Linked DNA regions of Caenorhabditis elegans. The protein of the gene in region 3 purifies or fractionates together with the protein of the main gene of each other region. This does not show direct contact. Each region holds a gene or a part of one and is shown on either strand. Other genes may lie near its edges. The genes, in order: emc-2, srbc-68, T21D12.12 and F53F4.15.

Region 1 (7,442 bases), on a different chromosome or scaffold from region 3:
TTAATAAGTAAACTTAAAAAATAATTGGTTAATAAAAAATAGAATTACGACCAAAAAATTTTTTTTGAAATTTTTTTCTCATTTTTTTTTCTTGAAAAATTCTAATTTTTGTTAATTTCTCTATTAAATTTGAATTTTCAGCTTATTTTCACCTTTCTCACGTTTTTTTCCGCTCATTTAGCTTAAAAATCAATATTTTGGGTTACTGTAGCCTCAAAAGTACGCAAACACCAAACACTTCACGCAAACATGCACATAATTCCAAAATTCGCGGAAAAAAGCCTTATCGGAGTAAAAATTGACGTAGAATTCGATTTTGATAATGAAATCTTCAGAAAATCAGCGAAAAATACAGAATTCTGAGAAAACTAGCCAGTAAAAGCAGTTTTGTCGGGCCAAATCGGCAAAAATATGTAAAAACTCACCTCTTGGAAGTACTGATCGTTTCCATTGATATGATCCATCCAGACCGACCGAACCCTGTCGATATCAAGCTTGGGACGTCGGAAATACGCCAAAATTATGCCCATTTTTGGAATTTTTTTCAAATTTTCAAAAAAAAATTTGTTTGAAAATTTTCGTTTCCAAAAAGAATCTCAAAACATGCTAGAAATATTAGAAGTACTCAGAATATTGCAGAATACATTCAGAATCTGAAGACGTGCAAAAATTTGGAGGAAGACGGGGACCAAAATTGCTAATTAGCGCCCCTTTTAGGCCCCCCCCCCCCCGCGCTAATTTGTTTTTCTTTTTTATACAAATTAGCACCTCTTAAGAGGGAGCTCTTTTTGCTTTTTCTCTGTTTCTTAGGGGAGTTTCAGGAACTAAAATACGGAATTCTACGGAAAAATTCGAGAAAATTGGATTTTGTAGTTTGTAGCACGAAAATTGTGTACTTTCCGCTGATTATTATCGATTCTGATATCAAAAATTGAATTCTACACACATTTTTACCCTTATGCAGCTTTTTTCCGCAAATTTTAGAATTCTCTGCACTTTTGCGTAAAGTGTTCCATGTTTGCGTACTTTTGAGGCTACAGTAACCCGGAAATTTTTATTACAACTCGAATGGAGTCGAAAAAGTCTCGTATGGGTGAAAAAACATAAAAATCCAAATTTAAAACTGATAATGCACAAAAATCAATAATTTTTTTTTGGCTCAACATTTCTGAAAATTATCATTTTTCACTGATTTTTTAAACGATTCTGACACAAAAATTGAATTCTACACAAATTTTTACCCATGTATGGCTTTTTTCGCGCATCTTTCAGGTTTCTGTGCATTTTTGCGTGAGTCGCATGGTGTTTGCGTACTTCTGAGGCTACAGTAACCCAACTTATCGATTTCAGCGCCAAAAAGGAGCCGGAAAAACCGGAATAGATGTGAAATAACGCAAAAATTCAAGATTTTCAAGAAAAAAGTAGTTTTTAGTCTAAAAATTGCTATCAAAAATTGGTCTGCCAGACTACAAACTACAAAAAGCTATTTAGCAGACCCAAGACTCTAAAATGGAGCAAAAACGGTGGCAAAAATCATCACATTTATTTATTCTTGAGGAGTTCTTTTTTTCGATAAATATACTTTCGATAGACATTAAAAAAATTGAATTTTAACAGAAAATAAATAGGAAATAATCGAATATTCGGGGGAATGTACGTAAAGCATATCATTTTTTGGGAGGAAATTGACAATTTATTTGCTTCCAACAGTGACTTTCATGGCTTCGAGGCAATTGAGAATTCCGTCCGATTCTGGATTGCTTTTTGGACTTATCTGGAATTTTTTAAGGTTATTTTTAGAAAAATCACGATTTTTTTCGAATTTTTTTTTCAAAAAATTCAAGAAAAAACAGCCGAAATTCGGCATTTTTTGGAGTTTTTAGAGCTTTTTCCAATTAAAAACTATTAATTTTATCAAAATCTACCTTCTGATAACGATTAACCAAATTATCGATTGCATCAACTGCTGCAGCTCCGGCTTTCTTCTTTTCCGTCGCATTTTTGGTGGTCGCCGCGATCAAATTGTTGCTCTGAAACATTAATATAGACTACAAACTACAAACTACAAACTACAAACTACACTTACCAATAGAATTCCGTATTGAGATCTCAAATCGGTTGGGTTGATTTTGAGCGCACGTTCGTAGTAGGAACGAGCCAATTCCACGTTTTCGGCGCCTCCCTGCAAAAAATATAGTTTGGGTCTGCCAAATATGAATATGTAGTTTGTAGTCCAGCAGACCAATTTTTTCAAAATCACATGGGTCTGCTAAATCGAAATTTGTAGTTTGTAGTCCAGCAGACCAAGTTTTTCAAAATCACTTGGGTCTGCTAAATCGAACATTGTAGTTTTTAGTCTAGCAGACCAATTTCGAATTGAAATCACTTGGGTCTGCTAAATCGAACATTGTAGTTTGTAGTCTAGCAGACCAATTTTTTTCAAAATCACTTGGGTCTGCTAAATCGAACATTGTAGTTTTTAGTCTAGCAGACCAATTTCGAATTGAAATCACTTGGGTCTGCTAAATCGAACATTGTAGTTTGTAGTTTAGCAGACCAATTTTTTTCAAAATCACTTGGGTCTGCTAAATCGAACATTGTAGTTTTTAGTCTAGCAGACCAATTTCGAATTGAAATCACTTGGGTCTGCTAAATCGAACATTGTAGTTTGTAGTCTAGCAGACCAATTTTTTTCAAAATCACTTGGGTCTGCTAAATCGAACATTGTAGTTTTTAGTCTAGCAGACCAATTTCGAATTGAAATCACTTGGGTCTGCTAAATCGAACATTGTAGTTTGTAGTCTAGCAGACCAATTTTTTTCAAAATCACTTGGGTCTGCTAAATCGAACATTGTAGTTTTTAGTCTAGCAGACCAATTTCGAATTGAAATCACTTGGGTCTGCTAAATCGAACATTGTAGTTTGTAGTCTAGCAGACCAATTTTTTTCAAAATCACTTGGGTCTGCCAAATATGAATATGTAGTTTGTAGTCTAGCAGACCGAATTTCTTCAAAATCACATGGGTCTGCTAAATCGAAATTTGTAGTTTGTAGTCCAGCAGACCAAGTTTTTCAAAATCACTTGGGTCTGCTAAATCGAACATTGTAGTTTGTAGTCTAGCAGACCAATTTTTTTCAAAATCACTTGGGTCTGCCAAATATGAATATGTAGTTTGTAGTCCAGCAGACCAATTTTTTCAAAATCACTTGGGTCTGCTAAATCGAAACTTGTAGTTTGTAGTCCAGCAGACCAAGTTTTTCAAAATCACTTGGGTCTGCTAAATCGAACATTGTAGTTTGTAGTCTAGCAGACCAATTTTTTTCAAAATCACTTGGGTCTGCTAAATCGAACATTGTAGTTTTTAGTCTAGCAGACCAATTTTTTTCAAAATCACTTGGGTCTGCTAAATCGAACATTGTAGTTTGTAGTCTAGCAGACCAATTTCGAATTGAAATCACTTGGGTCTGCTAAATCGAAACTTGTAGTTTGTAGTCCAGCAGACCAATTTTTTCAAAATCACTTGGGTCTGCTAAATCGAACATTGTACTTTGTAGTTTGCATTGTAGCAGACCGTTCAATTTTTTTTAGTTTTCCTTAAAAAAAATCAATTTTCAATCATTTTCGGTAATTTCTCTATATTTTTTAAAAATTTCTTCATTTTTTGCATTAAAATAATATATTTTCGTTGAAAATTTGTTTTTCTGACATTTTTTTGACGGAAAACTGACAATTTTCGATTTTTTTTCTTCAAAAAAAAAAGTAGAAAAACGAGAAAAAACCAATTTCCATTGAAAATGTATTTGGGTCTGCTAAATATGAATTGTAGTTTGTAGCCCCCAGCAGGCCCAAATTTCTCCAATTTTCCACACACATACTTGAGTATATCTCAAATCGGCTAATCGTCTGAAATACATGGAATTCAGCGGCGAAATGAGCACACACTCCTCCAGGCAATGTACCGCCTTTGCCACGTCATTTTCGAGCAGGAAAAGCTCGCTGAGCTGAAGCCAAGCTTCTGGGTCGTTCAGGAAAATCTGAAAATTAATAAATTTTAGAGTTTTTTTTTTCTAGAAATCAAATGAAAACCTTCAGGTAATCGTTGATAGCTCGAATTGCGTCGAGACGCTTTCCCTGAGCGAGAAGAACCGCGACTTTTCGCTTGCGGAAGCTCTGAAAATTCAAATTATTAGAAATTTTGCAAAAAAAAAATTTCCTGAATTTTTTACATTATTATTGGGCTCATCCTCAACCAGTCGCTCATAAATATCCAACGCCTTCTGATAATGTTCCGTAGATTCCAACTGCATCGCTTTCAGCTTCAAAACTCGATTACTCTTCGGAAATTGTGCGTGAAGTTGGTCAATGCAATCCTGAGCCAGATCGACACGAGCCGCGTCGAGTGCTGCGATGCACACCTGAAAAAAATTGGAAAAATTAGGTGAAAATTCGATTTTCTCGTGAAAAATGAGTATGGGTATGCTAAATCGAAGCTTGTAGTTTGTAGTCTAGCAGACCAAATCTCCTCAAAACTACATTGGTCTGCTAAATATGAATTTGTAGTTTGTAGCCTAGCAGACCAAATTTCATCGAAACCACTTGGGTCTGCTAAATATGAATTTGTAGTTTGTAGTCTAGCAGACCCAAATTATTGAATTTTTTCTCGAAAATAATCATTTTTTCAGTAAAAAATGACCGTTTTTATTGATTTTTTCCAGTTTTTCGCCGAAATTTGTATTATTTTCACTATTAATCAACCAGAAACGTGATAACTTAGAAAAAAGCGTGGGTCTGCTAAATATAATACTGTAGTTTGTAGTCTAGCAGACCAATATGCTTTTCACCAAAAAAACCAGAAAATCTATGGTTTTTTTCTATTCAAAGCCAGATTTTCAGGATTTTCAGCGTTTTTCGACAAAATTTCAGCACCTGCTCCAACACAGCCCATTGCTCGTCTCCAAGAGAAGCCGGTGAGCGTGAAATAACGTGCTCCCAAATTTCGACGACCTCATCACTTCGTCGAACTCCGCATTCTCGCCACTTTTTCAGCGCTTGACGTCCTTCTGCAAGCATTTATCGATTTTTTTTTCAAAATTTGAATATTGTAGAATGTTACCATCGTAAGAGACTTGCGTCCACTCGGTTTCAACCATTTTCGGGAGGGAAATTTCTGAAAAATATTGATTTTTTCCAACTTTTTAATGGAAAAGTTCGGTTGGAAGGTATAAAAATAGCGAGAAAACTATAAAATAAACGGTTATAGCTGGAAAAAAGGAAAAAAAACAAAATTTATTATGCGATCACGGGGGAAAAAAAATTAAAATTCAGTGGTAAAGCAATAATTGTTGACCTAATCAAAAAGAAAACTATATTCTCAATATGAGAAAAATCGGAAATGAAAAGAAAAAAACAACATAATTATTCCATTGATGGATATTTCCAGTCAGTCAATGACACCGACGTCTCCTTAATCGTCAGCGGCGAGGTCCATCGGAGCCCATAGTGGGGGCCACCGGCCTTATCATTGGTTCCGGACAATCTGGAGCCTCCGAATGGCTGCTGGCCGACGATTGATCCAGTTGATTTGTCGTTGAGGTACATGTTGCCGACGGCGTCGCGGAGAACATCGCGAGCTCTGAGAAAAAAAAACACTTTGTTGAAAAACGTTTTTAACACAAAAATTCGCCTCAAAAATCTCGAAAAATCGATCGAAATCCAACAAAAATTCCAATAAAAAATACCGTAGCCCTTTAAAGGGACACACACTTTCACTGTTGGGTCTCGCCACGCTCAGGAACATCTTACTGTCGCTTTCAAATTTTTTGTTTGTTGTTATCGCTTTTTTTTTTCGATTTTTGCCAGTTTTTCTAGCTTTTCATTTGATTTGTGACGAAATTCGAGGGTTTTTATTGGAGAAATTGTGTAATTATCGTTTTTCGACATTTTTTAACCTATTTTGTTCGGTTATAGAGAAATTTCTTGAAAATTGCCGAAAAAACAGAATTTCAAGATTTCGAATTTTCCGGGAATAATTTTAAATCGACTTTTGGCAGTTTTCTTGTGCCTAAAATGTTGAATTTCAGCATTTTTGAACATAACAAACCCGAAAATTCGAGTTTTTCTTCTTTCCGCTGGGTTTTTAGATAAAATTTTTGAGTCCCTGAAAACCTGTGCAAAAACTTGTATTTTTTGTAGTTGCCAACCTATAAAGGAACTCCTTATCCTGCGAAAAAACGGCGCCAGTCAGCCCATAAGGTGTCGCGTCTTTCACAGTCGCGAGCACCTCATCAACCTTCGAATCCTCGTAGACCAGTACCGTCACCACCGGTCCGAACATTTCCTCAGTGAGAAGCTTGCTCTTCGGATCCGTCACAGTGATCAGGGTCGGCTCGATGAAGTATCCCGTTTTGTCGTCACATTTTCCGCCGAGCACCACATTTGCTCCGTCGGCTCCGGTTTTCGCAAAGTCAATGTAGGCCTTGAGCCTGGCAAACGCCTTATCATCGATCACAGCCGACAGAAAGACGGATCCATCGCGAACCTGTAAACTACAAACTACACAAAAATCGGCAAGCCAAACAGTGGCCTACATCTCCAAGCTTGATCTCTTTGTGAATCGCCGAGATTTTCTCGAGAATCTTTGGCCAAATCGATTTTGGCGCGTACATCCTGGAGCACGCCGAGCACTTTTGTCCCGAATATTCCCAGGCGGAACGGGCGGTTCCAGCGGCGACAGCGTCCACGTGGGCGGATGGATGCACAAAGTGGAAGTTTTTTCCGCCGCATTCTCCGATGAGTTTCGGAAAAGTCACATAGTTATCCAAATTCTCGGCGACTTTTCTCCAAATCGTCTTGAAAGTTGGCACGGAGCCAGTGAAATTGACAGCGCTCAAGTGTGGAGATGCGGTGATGACGTCACCGAAAACGGGGCCATCTGATGGCAAGAATGAGAGAATTCCAGGTGGCATACCAGCTTCCTCGAGGAGTTCGTAGATTATATAATTGGAGAGCACGGCGGTGTTCGATGGCTTCCAGAGGGAGACGTTACCCTGAAAAAATTGGGATAAAAATGATTTTTTTTTCGAGGGGAAAATGGCATTAAAATCGCGAATTTCATAGATTTCTCAAAAAAAAAAGTTAAAAATTCCAAAAAAATTGCCTGAAATCTCAGCATTTTGGGTCTGCTAAATCGAAACTTGTAGTTTGTAGCCTAGCAGACCCAATTTCTTCAAAACTACTTGGGTCTGCTAAATCGAAACTTGTAGTTTGTAGTCTAGCAGACCAAATTTCTTCAAAACTACTTGGGTCTGCTAAATCGAAACTTGTAGTTTGTAGCCTAGCAGACCCAATTTCTTCAAAACTACTTGGGTCTGCTAAATCGAAACTTGTAGTTTGTAGTCTAGCAGACCAAATTTATTTAAAACTACTTGGGTCTGCTAAATTG
Region 2 (4,572 bases), on a different chromosome or scaffold from region 3:
TTGATCAAATAATATCAGGAAAAAAATAAAAATGTAAATGGAAAACAATCCAAAGAAGTTAAAAATAAGAGACTTGTACGAATAGTTCCAAACATAATATTAGACCACATTGAGAAAAATATAAAATTTTTGACGGCAAATATGTTTGAGGCTATAATCGCCAATATATACATTTTGAATATACTAACTGAACCAAAAATTAATTCGGTAGATTTTCGGTAACTTACTTGAAAAACTGTATCCAATATCTACAACAAATCTTGTATAAAAAAGGGATAATTCTGATTTAAAAGTGATTTTTTTGAGGCAAAAAATTGCTAATAAAAGGATCAAATTGAAGCATATATTTGAGTAACAAACTAGAATATTTATCATAGAGTTAATGATAATAATAACTGACATTAATACTGATTTTTTGTACTAGCAAGAGCTAAAAGTCCAGTTCTCAAGTATTGAAACAAATATGTCTAGTTTTTTCTCACGATTTTAGAGACTCTCGTAGACTTTGTTTATTAGTATTGTCTGTGAAAACTGAAAATAAAAAAAAAGTATAACATCTTAAAATATTCAATTATCTAGCTTTTCTCACGATTTCATAGACTGTTACGTAACTGGTTATGACTGTGAAAATAGGAAACATAATGTTATTGTTAGGGACAAAAAGATAATAATACTCAACTTTTGTGTAAATAATATATTAGTTAATTTCCGTTCAGCAGATACCTTTCACGCAGTTGTCTAATAGCTTAATTGTACAGGCCAAGAACAGAAAGTGCATTAAATATGAATGCGTTTCATTGTTACTATAAAACCAATAATAATTGCATTTTTAAAATGAAGTGCAGACAGGCTAGGCAAAAACATTACTCAAACGACGCTGCCGGGATTTCATTTTTATCAAATTGGATAATTTATCTTTTGTGTTAATGTGTTAATATAAAAATTAAAAAAAACAACAAGAACGTCAGTCGATAAAAATAGGATTAATTAATAATTTGAAGGTAGTTTTTTATGCGACCTTCAACGTACAATTCTTTACACATTTACTAAAAAACCAAAAGCAATAGTTTGAAGCAATTTTATTCATTTATTTTAAAAAAATTAAGTTCTTAAGAATTGGGTGATGTTAATGCTGTCACTGTATTATTTTTATCTCTCATGAATATTCGAAAAATGATCAATGTGTTGATTAAAAATCCAAGATTTCTAGAGAGAGTTGCAAACGACGAATACGTTTCATAATCAGCTGATTCAAACCAAAAAGTAGACATGACCGGAACAAGATTGAATAAAATAAGAGTTGTTGAGTCAAGCATAGCTATTTGGGTAGCCTTAAATTTATGAATTGCTTATATTTTAAAGGTACAGCACCTTACTCTTGAATAAACTTGAGCCGATTGGTTCTGTGCAAGAACAGTGTAAACAACAAGTTTCCCTAATTGCAATACTGTCAAAACGACGATCATACTGAATACAATTTTTTCGTGCTCTACCCAATAAATACTGTAGCACTCATTGAAAGAACAACGGAAATGGTCGCAGTTCATGGGAGTATCAATAGTATTCCCACAATATCCGAACATGATAATTTGATCGAAAATTATCAAGGAAAAAATTAGAATAAAAATGGCAAATAGTGGAAGTTTGCTACGGTTTGCGCAATAGAAGAAAGGGAAGAATAGAGAAATGACTCGATCCAAAGTAGTTAAAAATAATAGACTTGTTCGAATGATTCCAAATATAATAGTAAGCCATAGTGTGATGAAAATGAAATTTTTAACGGCAAATATTTCCGAAATCATAACCGCCAAAATGTACAATTTGAAATTACTAACTGAATCAAAATTGAATTGAATTAGATTTTCAAAAACTTACTAGAAATACTGTATCCAATATCTGCAGCAAATCTTGTATAGAAAAGAGACAATTCAGATTTGAAAGTGACTCTTTTAGAGCAGAAAATTGCTAATAAAAGGATCAAATTTAGGCAAATATTTGAGTAACAGACTATGACAGTAATAAAGGAATATATAAAAACAATAGTTGACATTATTCTGGGCTCTTTAATAGTAAAATGTTTTTGTGAACAGAAGTTACTTTTCGTAGGGTTTCAGACGTTTCTCAGCTATCAGCAAGTTCTACAATAGTATCGATAGCATTTGTGACAAGCCTCACTAGAATATGAGATAATTTCCGTTGTGCAGTTATTTCACAACCACAAGTAGTTGTATAGGGTTTTATTCTTACTCTAACTAAAATAATAAAAAAGTTCAATGTTAGAAGGAATTGTTTGATTACTGGACGAAAAATTATTATTACTTGGGAGCCAGAACCCGCCATTTGTCGGACGCTGCTTCATTTTATGGAAAATAATACTTTGGTGACTTATAAAGATGATGGATCATATTGATATTGCATTTACTGTTATAACATTTTGTTGTGAACTTTTTCGACTTTTGCAAAGATTTCCAATTCTGTTCTTCTGAAAATTTATTGAGTTCATACCGGCTCCTTTTTCAAATTCGCTCAAAATTATTCCTACCTGGAAACTTATCCCGCACGACACTACATCTATCAGTGTTGCCCTGTATTGTGAAGACAAGACGAAACAAACAAAGAAATGGGAAATTGTGTTTGCGGTAAGTAGCATATAAAAAAGAGCTTCAAATTGATCAAGAATCAGCCTGAAAAGCTAGCTGTTTCAGCCAATTTTTTGCCGTCAAACTTACTTGATTCCAACGGAATTATTGAAAAACCAAATGATCGCCAGATTGATTCCAAGTGGAAGCTCAACAATTAGAAAAATAATCGCTGTATAGATTATGATTTTTGTAGACTTCGTATTACTATCGGTCTTGGATACCAGTTTCCGAGATTTTTTAGCTTTTCGTAGGACGTTTACAAGAAAAAATGTGACTATAGGAAAGAGAATCGAAGGAATGATCTGAAAATTTGTTGCGATCTACAGTAACCCTTACAGTAACCCCTCACTACTTTGACACTATCCCCACTATCACTTCAAATGAAAAAACTCAAATTTCCAGTATTAAAGTAATCCTACAGCTTCTACAGTACCCCGATACTATCTCCAAGTATCTCTTGTAAAAACAGAAACTAAATTTTTCTAGAACTAAAATAATTCTACAGTACTCCTAGAGTGTCCCTACAGTACCCCTACTGTACCACTTCGGACTCCTACAGTACCCGACACTATCTTTTCATAAAACAAAAAATCAAATAAATAGAGCTACAGTAGTCCTATTACGACATTACTTCCACAGTACCATTACAGTACCCCGCCACTATCCCTCACTATTCTTTTGAAAAAACAATAACTCAAATTTCTAGAATTACAGTATTCCTACAGTACTCCTACATCACTATTACAGTAACTCGGCACTGTCTCTTCAAAAGACAAAACCTCAATTACTACAGTAATCTTATAGTACTCCTACAGTACCCCTAAAGTACTACTACAGTACCCCGACACTATCCCCAAATATCTCTTACAAAAACGAAAGCTCATATTTCTGAAACTACAGTAATCATACAGTATACCCACGGTACCATTACAGTTTTAAAAAAACTTACATGAGAAATCATTGCATTTGATGTGGAATATAGTTTTATCAGAAACCCGTCATTTTTGGAGTACAACTTTGATAGAAGAATGGCATATTCTAGCTTATCGTCTTTGGAGCATGGTGAATAATTTTTCTGGGAAGCAATTTTATAGCCGAAAAAATCCAAAATATCCATGAACAAGCTAATTGACAAAATTCCAAAAATAACTACAACAGATGCTCTTGGCATAGATAACTTTTCAAACTTTTGGCTCATTGGATTACGAATCACAAGTGCTCGGATCATGGCGATTGACAAGCAGAGCCACGGAGAGCATCGTCGAGCAAAATCTCTGAGTTTGATAAAGCACAGGTCAATTAGAACGGAAGCATGTGAATTTGAGTTGAAGCATTTATAATTGGTACGGAGCCAATAGAGAATTGATGTTTTAAAGTTATAAAATAGGGATAAAATTTCAACTATGGCAATTGCTGTCATTATAATATTCACTGAAGAAGTTCTGATTGGTTTTCGGGTTAGAATTATGAAATGGAATATGTTTATGAAAAAACTGGCGACTGAGATGTAAGATTCGTAGTTTAAGATTCTAGATGAAAATTTTCTGAAAACAAATTTGGATTTTTTTGTTCAAAACTTTAGCCTACGTACTCAACGAATTCTTGAAAATCGCAATAGGCAAGTGCAGTTGACTTATCGTAACCTGGGAAGCAGAAATCAAGATCCGACCTGCAATCGAACACTTCCATCTCCGAGCAGAAAAAATCGGAAGTAGTTATGGGTACAGCTGGTTTTTCTTGTTTTTTGACACTTCTTTCAGGAGTTAACTCAATAATGCAGATTAGAGACAGATGGAAAATTTGATATTCAGGATTCGATCACTAGGTGATTTTTGATGACGCTTATCAGGAAAAACAAGTAGAGAGGCAAAAAACATAAACAAAATTTGAATTTCCGCGTAAAGTACATAAATTGTGCACAAAGTTCGAA
Region 3 (5,522 bases):
GATGTGCACCCCCTTGGTTTCCATGCTCATCTTCCGGCGCCTTCTTCTTTCGAGAAAGGGTACCAGAGAGTTTCTCAAAGACTCCAGGCTTTTTTGGTTCGTCACGAGATGGGGTCTTACTACGACCAAGTGTTGACATGGTTATTGCTGAAAAGTTTAAAATTATTAAGGGGTAAATATTTGTTGATTCATAATAAAAAATAAAGTACAATTAGATATTGATAAGTTAAAAAAATTTTGAAGTCTCATTATGAAACTCTGTTTTGGAACATTTCCTCTTTAAGCACTTAAATTTAAATTTGAAAAATCGATAATTCAATGTTCAAATAGCAGTAAAAATATTGTGTGGGAGGATTCTTTCCGTAGAGCAACACAAAAGTCCCCATCCAGGCCAGCAGATAGTGTAAAACAGCCGTCGTCAGTGTTGAAAAAGTGAGAGAGTGTTGGGAACAATAAGAGACGTAGAGTTGGAAGGAGAGTTTACGACAAATGAGAGATTGGGTGAAAAGAGGATGGTGCAGATAAATGGTGTGTGTGGGGGAGAGAGAAGGCTTTGGGATACATATAAATGTATGGGAATAGGAAAGAAGAACGGAAAGTTAATATTTGTATATGCATATGTATTGAGAAAGAAAAGGACGTCCATATAACAACTAATATTCAAATAAATAAAAATAAAAATAAATTAAGAAAGACAACAACTCTGCATTTACCGTATTTTCGCTATTAGTCTTGCATGCGAGACTAATTTTCAATTGGTCTTTAGGGGTGCAAGACTAATAGAGACTGAAAACTATTTTTCGAACTTTGGAAAGTGATACAATTTTGACCGTTCAAACAATGAAAAATACATACTTTCCCAATATTACATCAATTATTTGAACGATTTTACATTTGATTTACTCCAAAAATGATAAATTTGCTTACGTTTCCACAAAGTTCTGCTAATATGACAAAAAGTGGGGTGCTAGACTATTACAGGCTGTAAGACTGATTTTCAATTAGTCTGTAGGAGTGCAAGACTAATAGAGGAAATACGGTACAGTCGGTCCACAGGTCGGTCTTTTGAAAATAGTTTTTTCCATAGCAATTTTTGAAAAAATTTTGAAAAACAATTTTAGGAAAAAATTATGAAAAATCACATCAGTTACATTGATTATACGTACGGTACATTCGATTTCCTGGCGTATGATAATAGTTGCATTAAACCGAAATCAGATTAAGAAACATTGAACTAGTAATTGTAAAAATTAGCATGCAATCTAGAAAATTAGGAAATCTGAAAATTATTAAAGGTGGAGTAGGGCCAATGGAGTAAGTGTTAAAAAATACTCCTATGGTGCCAAAGTGACAAATAATCATAATAAAACTTTTCAAAACTTTTTTGAAAAATTTTTATTCACTGTCAAAAAGTGTTCAATATTCAGTTTTTGCCACTCATAATTTTGGAAGTCGACCAAAAAAAATTATTTTTCCTACATTTTTTATACTGTAATTTTGTTTCAATTATTTTTGTTGAATCATTGTAAAGACCGGAATATGCGACATTGCTTTGGATGTCCTCAAAAGCTCATATTTGTCAAAATTTTGGTAATGTGCCAAAACTTTGACCGAAATTAGGGAAAATCTAAAAATTTTTGTAGTTTTATTATGATATTCGGTCGTTTGAAATCATAATAAGCGTATTTAGACAAAATCCCCATTGACGCTACTCCACCTTTAAATTTTTGAAATTTCGTGTACTTCCTTCAAATTTGTTTAATCATCAACCCGATGCGTCTATCCTTCGTTATCAACAAATTGTAGGTGTCTGTGTCAAGAACTATTGTATCTCGTACAATCGAAAAACCAGTTCCTTCATTTTCAAAACGCTCCCTTATTTTCTTTGTTATCAACAATTCGATTTGTAAAAACGGAACCACATCGATTGTTGTCTCTTGTTATTACATCAATTCCTACACCATTTTCAGTCAAAGTGTGGATATTTTCTGAAAACTGAGCGATTTCAGCCAAATATTTGCCTGTTTTTCATTTTTCAATAAAACTTTGCCATGTTTTCAATCGTGCCCATTGATCTTTAATGAATTCTTTTTCGGGAGAATGTGTAGGTTATTTGTTAACCACCAACTCAATTTTGAACATTTTCCTGTTGACCAAACTTTTGATATTTGCCAAATCTTAGTTATGTAGGTGGGACGAAGATTCTTAAGTAAATATTGCTAGGAATTTGAGTATAAAATAGGAAAAGATCATTCGAGAATTGAAGTTTTCTTTTTGGTTTCTGCTTTTAATTGGCATTGGCTAGTAATATTATTCCACTCTCATTGATCATTAACGGGTAAAAAAAATTGTATTTTTTCAGACAATGCTAACTGCAATTACGATTTCCACCATTTTCATAACATTTTGCTTTGCTCAACAGCAGACAGATTGTTTTTCCGCTCGCGATACTGGAAATTCTGGATGTGGTCAGCAGGGAGCCCGCTCATTTTATTTCCACAAGAATACCCGCACATGTCAGCCATTTTTCTATCAGGTACTGTTTTTTCCAGTAGTCCTTTAGCATACTACCTATATTAGGTTTAGGTTTAGGCTTAAGCTTTGGTTTAGAGTTAGGCTGACAAGGGAAGCCTTTCAGCTCGTCCTCGGACTTCCGAATGAAACCTATTATAATTGAAAGAGGACCTTAATAGAAGGTCACTCCAAAATTTTTAGTCTCGGAGGAGGCTTACTAGGGAACCGTCAGAAGGTGCCCATCGGACTTGCATATGAGACCTATGCCATTCGATAACCCATGTCTTAAAACGGTTACTCGTGAATTTTTAGCTGCGAATCTCCAGAACCAAGCTCACGGCGAGCTCTCAAAGATCTTAAAATAGCACTGTAACGAAGCTTTGAAAGGTCAATTTTCCAAATTCACTTTGGTAGCTCATATCTCCGCCGATAAATTTTTTACAGAAAAGTCATCAACTAAAAAGTTGTTGATATTGTTGTAAAGAACAAGTTTTTAGTTAAATCTGAAACAACAATTTTTTTGATAAAAACTTTCAACTACAAGTTTTTATCAAAAAAATTTTTAGTTGATGACTTTTCTGTAAAAAATATATCCACGGAGATATAGGCTACCAAAGTGAATTTGGAAAATTGCTTCTTTTCATCGTTACAGTGCTTCGTTATAGTGCTATTTTAGAATCTTTGAGAGCTCGCAGTGACCTTGGTTCTGGAGATTCGCAGCTAAAAATTCACGAGTAACCGTTTTAAGACATGGGCTATCGAATGGCATAGGTTTCATATGCAAGTCTGATGGGCACCTTCTGATGGTTCCCTAGTTAGGCTTAGGTTTTGTCATAGGCTAAGGTTAGGCTTATGCCCAGGCTAAGGGCCATACTTACGGTATATTCTTAGCTTGTGCTTGAGCTGATGCTAGGAATATACCTTATCTTCTCACAAACGGAAATTTCTCGTTGAATTTAACAGAATAGTATACTTCTTGGAAAAACGTTCAATTAAAATGAATAAAACAATTTTAGGGATGCGACGGCAACTCCAATCGATTCCAATCGAAAGAGGCTTGTGAATCAGCTTGCCGGAACGCGACTGCTTCTGACGATTTAGCTTACGGTTAGTTGAACAATGGATGACAAAGGTGTATAATAGTTTTTCAGCTGTATGTCCATCTGGAGCATACCCAGCTGGAGCCACTTCTGGTCAGACTGTTGGATGTTCGAATTGCCCACATGGTTACGAGTGTCAAAATCAACAATGCTGTCCAACAAAAGGTTACTATTTTCTGAAGAGATTTTGAAAAGTTATAGTGATCTTTAAAACACAAGTTTAAAGCGGTTTGTACTTTGTCTGAACACTGGTGTTTTAGAACTAAAAACTCTGTTTCGATGTGTAAATATTTATTCAAATGTGAAAGAAGCACAACAAAAGATCGAAGAAATTTGCAGAAAACACATGTAGTTTGCAGTACGACGCTGGAAAATTCGGATCTAGTGGAAAACATACACCCAGGTAAGAATTCAACTAATTTTTATTGTACTTTCACGGATTCAATAAATTAAATTTCAGATATTTCTTCTCAAAGTCCTACAAGAACTGCATGCTGTTCACTTTCTATGGCCGCGATGGAAATGCTAACAACTTTGCTACGTACAACGAATGCAAAAACTTTTGCATGTAACATTTTAGCAAATAACAGTAGTTTTCTTAATGTATATAAATATTTCAAACGAAAACAATTTATTTTGCACAAAGACCTATATAAATGAATCATGCAAGTTGATAAAAATTACCAAAAAATCAAGTAAAGACGTGTTTAAATATCTTAATACTAGTTCAAAATAGATATTATTTACAGTAATATCACGGAACAGAGAAACTGGAATATCATAATAACTTCTTGCCACGATTTTAGTGGATAATCAATACATATAAGTACGAATAAACATAGTCATGTACTATATTACGTTAATTGAAAATTTTTCGGTAGCATTTCTAGTTTTATAGTTATACTTATTTGAAAAATTAGTGAAATTATCAAAAAACTAAAAGTGGATATCTTTTCGGCCAGCACTGTAATTGAATGTATTGTTTTCGCAGTTTTTTTAAAAATCATTTTTTATTTTGTTACTTACATTCGAGCGCACCCTTCAGATGTCTGCCGAAATAGCTTTTCTAAAAACTTGTGAAATTGAAAAGAGTTCAAATTTTCGTTGCAAAATCTTTTAATACATTCGGATTAAGAAGAATTTGTGTAAAACAAAAATGCTCAGTTTTCAATGTTTGCATGTTTTGAACAAATGCCTTGTTTAATGTTCTTAAAATCTTTTAAAACCAAAAACTCAAAGTATCAAACGCTATTGAAAACATTTATGTAGTTTAATTCATTCCTTGTTTCAATGCTTCATTCATTGTTTTCTGATCATCCAAAATGTTTGCTTCTTGCGTTATTCGATCATAAAAATAAAACGGTTTCAAAAAGTTCCGCTCGAGGCCAATTTGCAGCAGAGGAAGATGGAAGTGCACGCGCATCGAAGCAGTTTACAACTTCTCATGAAAGTGGAATCAAGACACATCCGTGGAAAATGATTCAGTTGAAGCTACAATTGTGTGAAATTAACGCCTACAAGACAATCTAAACAATCAGAATTGAACTTTCAAGATGTTTTCTTTCCTTTAGACAAAGTTTGTAAAATACTCAATTTTGTTCTATAGTAATTTTTGATAATGCTGTTTTAGGAGTTTCTGTCAATTTCAAAATGCTTCGTCTTCTTATTTTGCCAACAATATTGATAATACCTTTCTCAAATTCATGCATGACAACTTATCCAGCAGACACTCCTATTATGTAAGTTTCATTATTGTTGCCTTAAAATAATATATATATTCCTAAAGAACGCAACCTCCATCTCCAGATTCACCATCATCTTCCAATGGCTCCAGCACCAGTCTTAGCGAAAATTTGAATAACAACTCCGTTTCTAACCAAATCGAATATGTTAATCAAAATAATAATA
Region 4 (4,269 bases), on a different chromosome or scaffold from region 3:
ACGTCAACGAAACATGAATAAAACTACATAGAAATTCACTTTTTTGTTGAAAAATTATCAATTTTACCAATTTTTGTGATTTTCGGTGATTTTCTAAATTTTGAAAAATTGAGTTGAATCTTTCATTCTACCCATAAAAGAACTAATTTTTCTTGACTTCATGACTTTTATTCCAGATGAGTTTACCCTGGTATCACCTGGAACGGCCTGCTCGAATGACCTTGCTACGAGCTTATTATACTGTATGTGCACTCACATATCCTACATATGTGGCGATCAACTACAAAAGTTATATTCCAGACAGAGCACAGGTAAAATTAAATCTAATTAGTTGCAGTTAATGAAATATATTTAGGTTCTTGGCGGAAAATCACTTCGTGACGAGATTCTACATCCGGCAATCGTCAAAAACTAGATCTATCGATGTGCAATTCCTCATCATTCTCCGAATTTTTGTCAAATACGAGTATTTTTCCGCCATTATCATTGGTTTTGAGTTTTCCCCCATAGGCCCTTTTCGTTTTTTTCTTTTAGTTTTTAGTCGTTGTTTGTTATCATTTTAAATTTATTCATTCATTAAAATTATTTAATTATGGATTGATGAAATAGTTAGAATAACGATACAATCCCCAGACTGGCTTGTTGGGATTGTAGCCATAATTAGGATAATATGGAATATTATCATCATAGACAGTTGGAAGATTTTGTTGAAGAAATAGACGATCATAGAATCCTGTCCGAGCAAATGCAGACGGAGCTCCACGAAGATTTGCTTCACGATCTTCCCGTTCTTCTACTTCAAAAAGTAATATTAAATTCTACAACTTCTCCGTGAAACCTACAAATCTCGGCAGCAGTTTTATCATGTTCACATGGCCAGACTTTACGAAAATTGACTCTTTCCGGAAGGCACATTCGACCAGGTGGCATTTCAATAGAATAACCAATCAGGAGAGTGAAGCAAAGAATAGAGAGATGAAGAGAAAACATTATTGATAATCATACAATGGGAAAGAGAAATATGGAAAAGACGATTAGGTGAAAAACTTCAAGAAAACACGATTTTTTGGTGATATCTCAGTGATCTCGACAGATTGAAAAATATGGGCGAACTGGATTCGCAATGCATTTTTGTATGTAATAAAGTTAATTGAAAATTAACTTTAAAAATATAAATAGTTCAGATTTATCAGGTTTTCCAAATAACAACATAATTTTTGAATAACGATGCATTAGGTTGTAGGTTGGATTTAACTTCTACCGTTTCACTTCCAATTTCTCAGCGTAAAAGCCAATCGTTATTTACCTCTGAAAGAGAACAAGAATGAATTCTTAAAACTTGCCTATATTTTTCTCATAAAATTTTGTAATTCGTGGACATCGCCTTAACCAAATGTATTATTACGAGATCACTACTTTCTGAGAATGCGTGTTGTGCAACATATCTGACGCGCAATATATCTCGTAGCGAAAACTACAGAAAATATTTAAATTACTACTGTAGCGCGAAATATTTTGCGCAATACGCATTCTAGACATCTAAAGATAAGAATTTTCGCCACATCTTAAATACTTATGCGCACGGTCTCGCCACGCTGACAACGAGTTACTGTAATAATGCATTATAATTTTCGTTTCAAATGAAACATTGCTTCTAAAATTTTTAAATAAAAACATGATCAGTCATAAATCAGCACGAGTTACAGTAGTCAGTAGTCAGCGTGGCGAGACCCAAGCGCGTAAGATATGGCAAAAATTATCATCTTCAGACATCTATGTAATAGATTTAATATGATTAAGGCGTCGCTATTTTGATGATCTGTAAATTTTTTTTGACAATTGTCTAGAACATCAAGTTAACTTAATGTTCTAGACTATTGATATAATACGAAACGACACAGATATATCCCAGACTATGAGTAATTCAAACAGTACATATATTCTCAGGTACGCCAGACGCTTTCTACTGAATGAAGCAATTAACAGCTCTGAGAGCCATCACGAGGAAGCATAAATAGAGATATCTTACGTGCACATGATGTGTTTTCCTTCCTTTTTCGAAAAGTCGAGTGAATAGATATGATAATTGTTTACTTTTTTACGGATTACGGAAAATCTAGTTCCCAAAAAATTATTTATTTTGCAAAATTCTTAGCATTCCTTAGAACAATATAATCATTCTGTAACCATAATCTTCACAGTCATCGTTCCAGTGAAGCCTTAAAATAAAGATTTTCTTTCTATTGAAAAATTTATATTTAAGAGAGAGCTTTTACCATTTTTTTTTTCACTTTCAGAAAAACTTGAAAAATGCTGGACTCTATCACATTATTCTTCCTTTCTTTCCATACGTTTGCCGGAGTTTCTGGCTGCATTCTCAATTCAATTGTGCTCTTTTTGGCACTTTTTCGGACTCCGAAGGTTAGTTTTTCGTGAAAAATCTTTGAACTAATCATAAAATATAGATTAAAATCAAAATTTGAGAGCTTTAGTTCCCAGTTTGGTAAAAACTGTGCAAATCTCGTAATATAGGCTCAGCTTTCTACAGAACTCTGCCATTATAACTAGGTGTGGGATAGCTGGAAATGTTCTGCAGAAATTCCTCATCACATAGACAAGCAATTTCAACCTTCAAACATCAGTTTCCATTTCCAGACAATCGCCGCTTACACCACAATTCTCATAAACTTTGCATTGACCGATTTCCTCGCCTGTTTCACAGATCTTTTCATTCAAATGCGGCATATTCCGGCTGGATTTACAATGGCTTATTTGTCACGTGGACTGTGCACTTATTTTGGACCCCATGTCTGCTATTTTATGTACACCATAATACATATTCCCCGACACGCTTCATTTTCTTAATTTCAGATACAGCATAAACATTTCATTAGTAGCTCATGGTCTATGGTCATTGCTAATGGGGTTCTCATATCGATATTATATCCTGTTTCATCCGGCACCAACGAGAAAAGCTTTGATAGTAATTCTTATGTTTATATCAATTCCGTCAATTATCCAAATGGTAATAATGTGAAACAATTTAGATTTCAAGCTGATACTTTTAAGATAACATTTCTGTGGGCAGACGATGACGCAGATGAAATGAAGCGAATTGTCGTCGAACGATTTCCGGAATATCAACTTCAAAACGAAACTATTTGCGGAACAATTAATATTATTGAGTTTTCTGCAATGTTCACAATTCTACATATGACGTGCCCAATAACACCAGTCTACATAACTATTTGGATATTAAGAAAAAAGATTATTGAGAACCTTACTTCTAATTCAAAGGATATGTCATCAAAAACTAAAGAAATGCATAAGCAGCTATTGAAGGTATGGGCGTTCGGGTAATAACAAAACGATTACGGTTGATGCATGATGCTTTCTTTTATGGTTGGGGTGGAATGAGCAATGTATCATAAAACATGACAACATTCGCATCCAAGTTAGACTAAAAGAACTTTGCTTAGCAGCTGGTTAGATTTGGACAAAATTTGAGTAGAAGTATGGTGAGTAGAAGTAATAAACTTGGCAAAAAAGTTTGAACCTATGTTCTAGGTTCCTAGGATCGCCCGTAGTCCGCCTTCGTCAGTGAGCTAATTATTAAAAAACCTTACTTTTAGTTCAAAAAATTACCAGATATCATGTAGGATTTCGGTGGCAACTTATTTTTGTTGCACTTATCAAGTTGCCTCCGAGACGATTGAAATTTTTCAAACAATTGATTTCTGCATTAAAAACGTGACGAAATGCTTACGAATTACTTCAAACGCCAAAACCTTTCAGGCTCTCACATGGCAAGCCATGATCCCTGGCTTTTACGGAATGAGCATTGTATCTTACGTCATTGGGCAATTCTTTTTCAATCACCCCGTATTTGAATATCTCACGCTCACAGGATTCCTTTTTATGCCTGTTCTTTCTCCACTCTCTTGCCTGATATTTATTCAAATTTACCAGAAACGAGTTCTATCATGGTGAGCTTGAAACAATTATTAAAAAATAATTCCTATTTTCAGGTGGTACAAAATGATTGGAAATCCAATTCCAGATGAGTGGCTTACAGTGTTGAATGCGACTAGAACCAATGCAACATCAAGTGTCGCTCCTTCAAATGAAATCAAATCTAAACATTGAAATTGAACTAATCGATCTTTTATTTTATCAGCACGTTTTTTGTACCTACTAACCACCCCTTATCAACTTATATAATCCCAATAATATTCTCCACTTTGCAGTCACTTTTCTGTCATTTTATTT

What was found.
Region 1: the proteins of T21D12.12 (region 3) and emc-2 fractionate together in Caenorhabditis elegans (co-fractionation; one large-scale study listed by BioGRID). This does not show direct contact.
Region 2: the proteins of T21D12.12 (region 3) and srbc-68 fractionate together in Caenorhabditis elegans (co-fractionation; one large-scale study listed by BioGRID). This does not show direct contact.
Region 4: the proteins of T21D12.12 (region 3) and F53F4.15 fractionate together in Caenorhabditis elegans (co-fractionation; one large-scale study listed by BioGRID). This does not show direct contact.

Annotation. Positions count from the first base shown.
Region 1 is NC_003280.10:1,300,969-1,308,410, forward strand, and holds emc-2 (ER membrane protein complex subunit 2), read right to left. Parts: upstream 5,169-7,442; 5' UTR 5,152-5,168; coding exon 5,115-5,151; intron 5,062-5,114; coding exon 4,928-5,061; intron 4,584-4,927; exon of another isoform or gene 4,533-4,583; intron 4,417-4,532; coding exon 4,228-4,416; intron 4,172-4,227; coding exon 4,088-4,171; intron 4,036-4,087; coding exon 3,877-4,035; intron 2,183-3,876; coding exon 2,087-2,182; intron 2,031-2,086; coding exon 1,926-2,030; intron 1,775-1,925; coding exon 1,694-1,774; 3' UTR 1,531-1,693; downstream 1-1,530. Other genes in the region: glb-31 (Globin domain-containing protein), read right to left, coding at 426-530; alh-6 (L-glutamate gamma-semialdehyde dehydrogenase), read right to left, coding at 5,417-5,633, 6,202-6,539, 6,589-7,047.
Region 2 is NC_003283.11:3,544,568-3,549,139, forward strand, and holds srbc-68 (G-protein coupled receptors family 1 profile domain-containing protein), read right to left. Parts: upstream 2,051-4,572; coding exon 1,876-2,050; intron 1,835-1,875; coding exon 1,377-1,834; intron 1,332-1,376; coding exon 1,110-1,331; downstream 1-1,109. Other genes in the region: srw-130 (G-protein coupled receptors family 1 profile domain-containing protein), read right to left, coding at 2,402-2,482, 2,543-2,684, 2,730-2,944, 3,592-4,186, 4,234-4,331.
Region 3 is NC_003282.8:264,086-269,607, forward strand, and holds T21D12.12 (BPTI/Kunitz inhibitor domain-containing protein), read left to right. Parts: upstream 1-2,362; 5' UTR 2,363-2,365; coding exon 2,366-2,536; intron 2,537-3,530; coding exon 3,531-3,621; intron 3,622-3,665; coding exon 3,666-3,779; intron 3,780-3,953; coding exon 3,954-4,017; intron 4,018-4,074; coding exon 4,075-4,186; 3' UTR 4,187-4,237; downstream 4,238-5,522. Other genes in the region: pat-6 (Paralyzed arrest at two-fold protein 6), read right to left, coding at 1-139; crmb-1 (Serine/threonine-protein kinase), read left to right, coding at 5,322-5,353, 5,401-5,522.
Region 4 is NC_003283.11:13,617,728-13,621,996, reverse strand, and holds F53F4.15 (Neuropeptide-Like Protein), read right to left. Parts: upstream 1,022-4,269; 5' UTR 991-1,021; coding exon 843-990; intron 797-842; coding exon 591-796; 3' UTR 521-590; downstream 1-520. Other genes in the region: F53F4.16 (uncharacterized protein), read left to right, coding at 177-311, 356-415; srd-11 (G-protein coupled receptors family 1 profile domain-containing protein), read left to right, coding at 2,311-2,421, 2,656-2,822, 2,872-3,025, 3,070-3,342, 3,796-3,986, 4,029-4,146.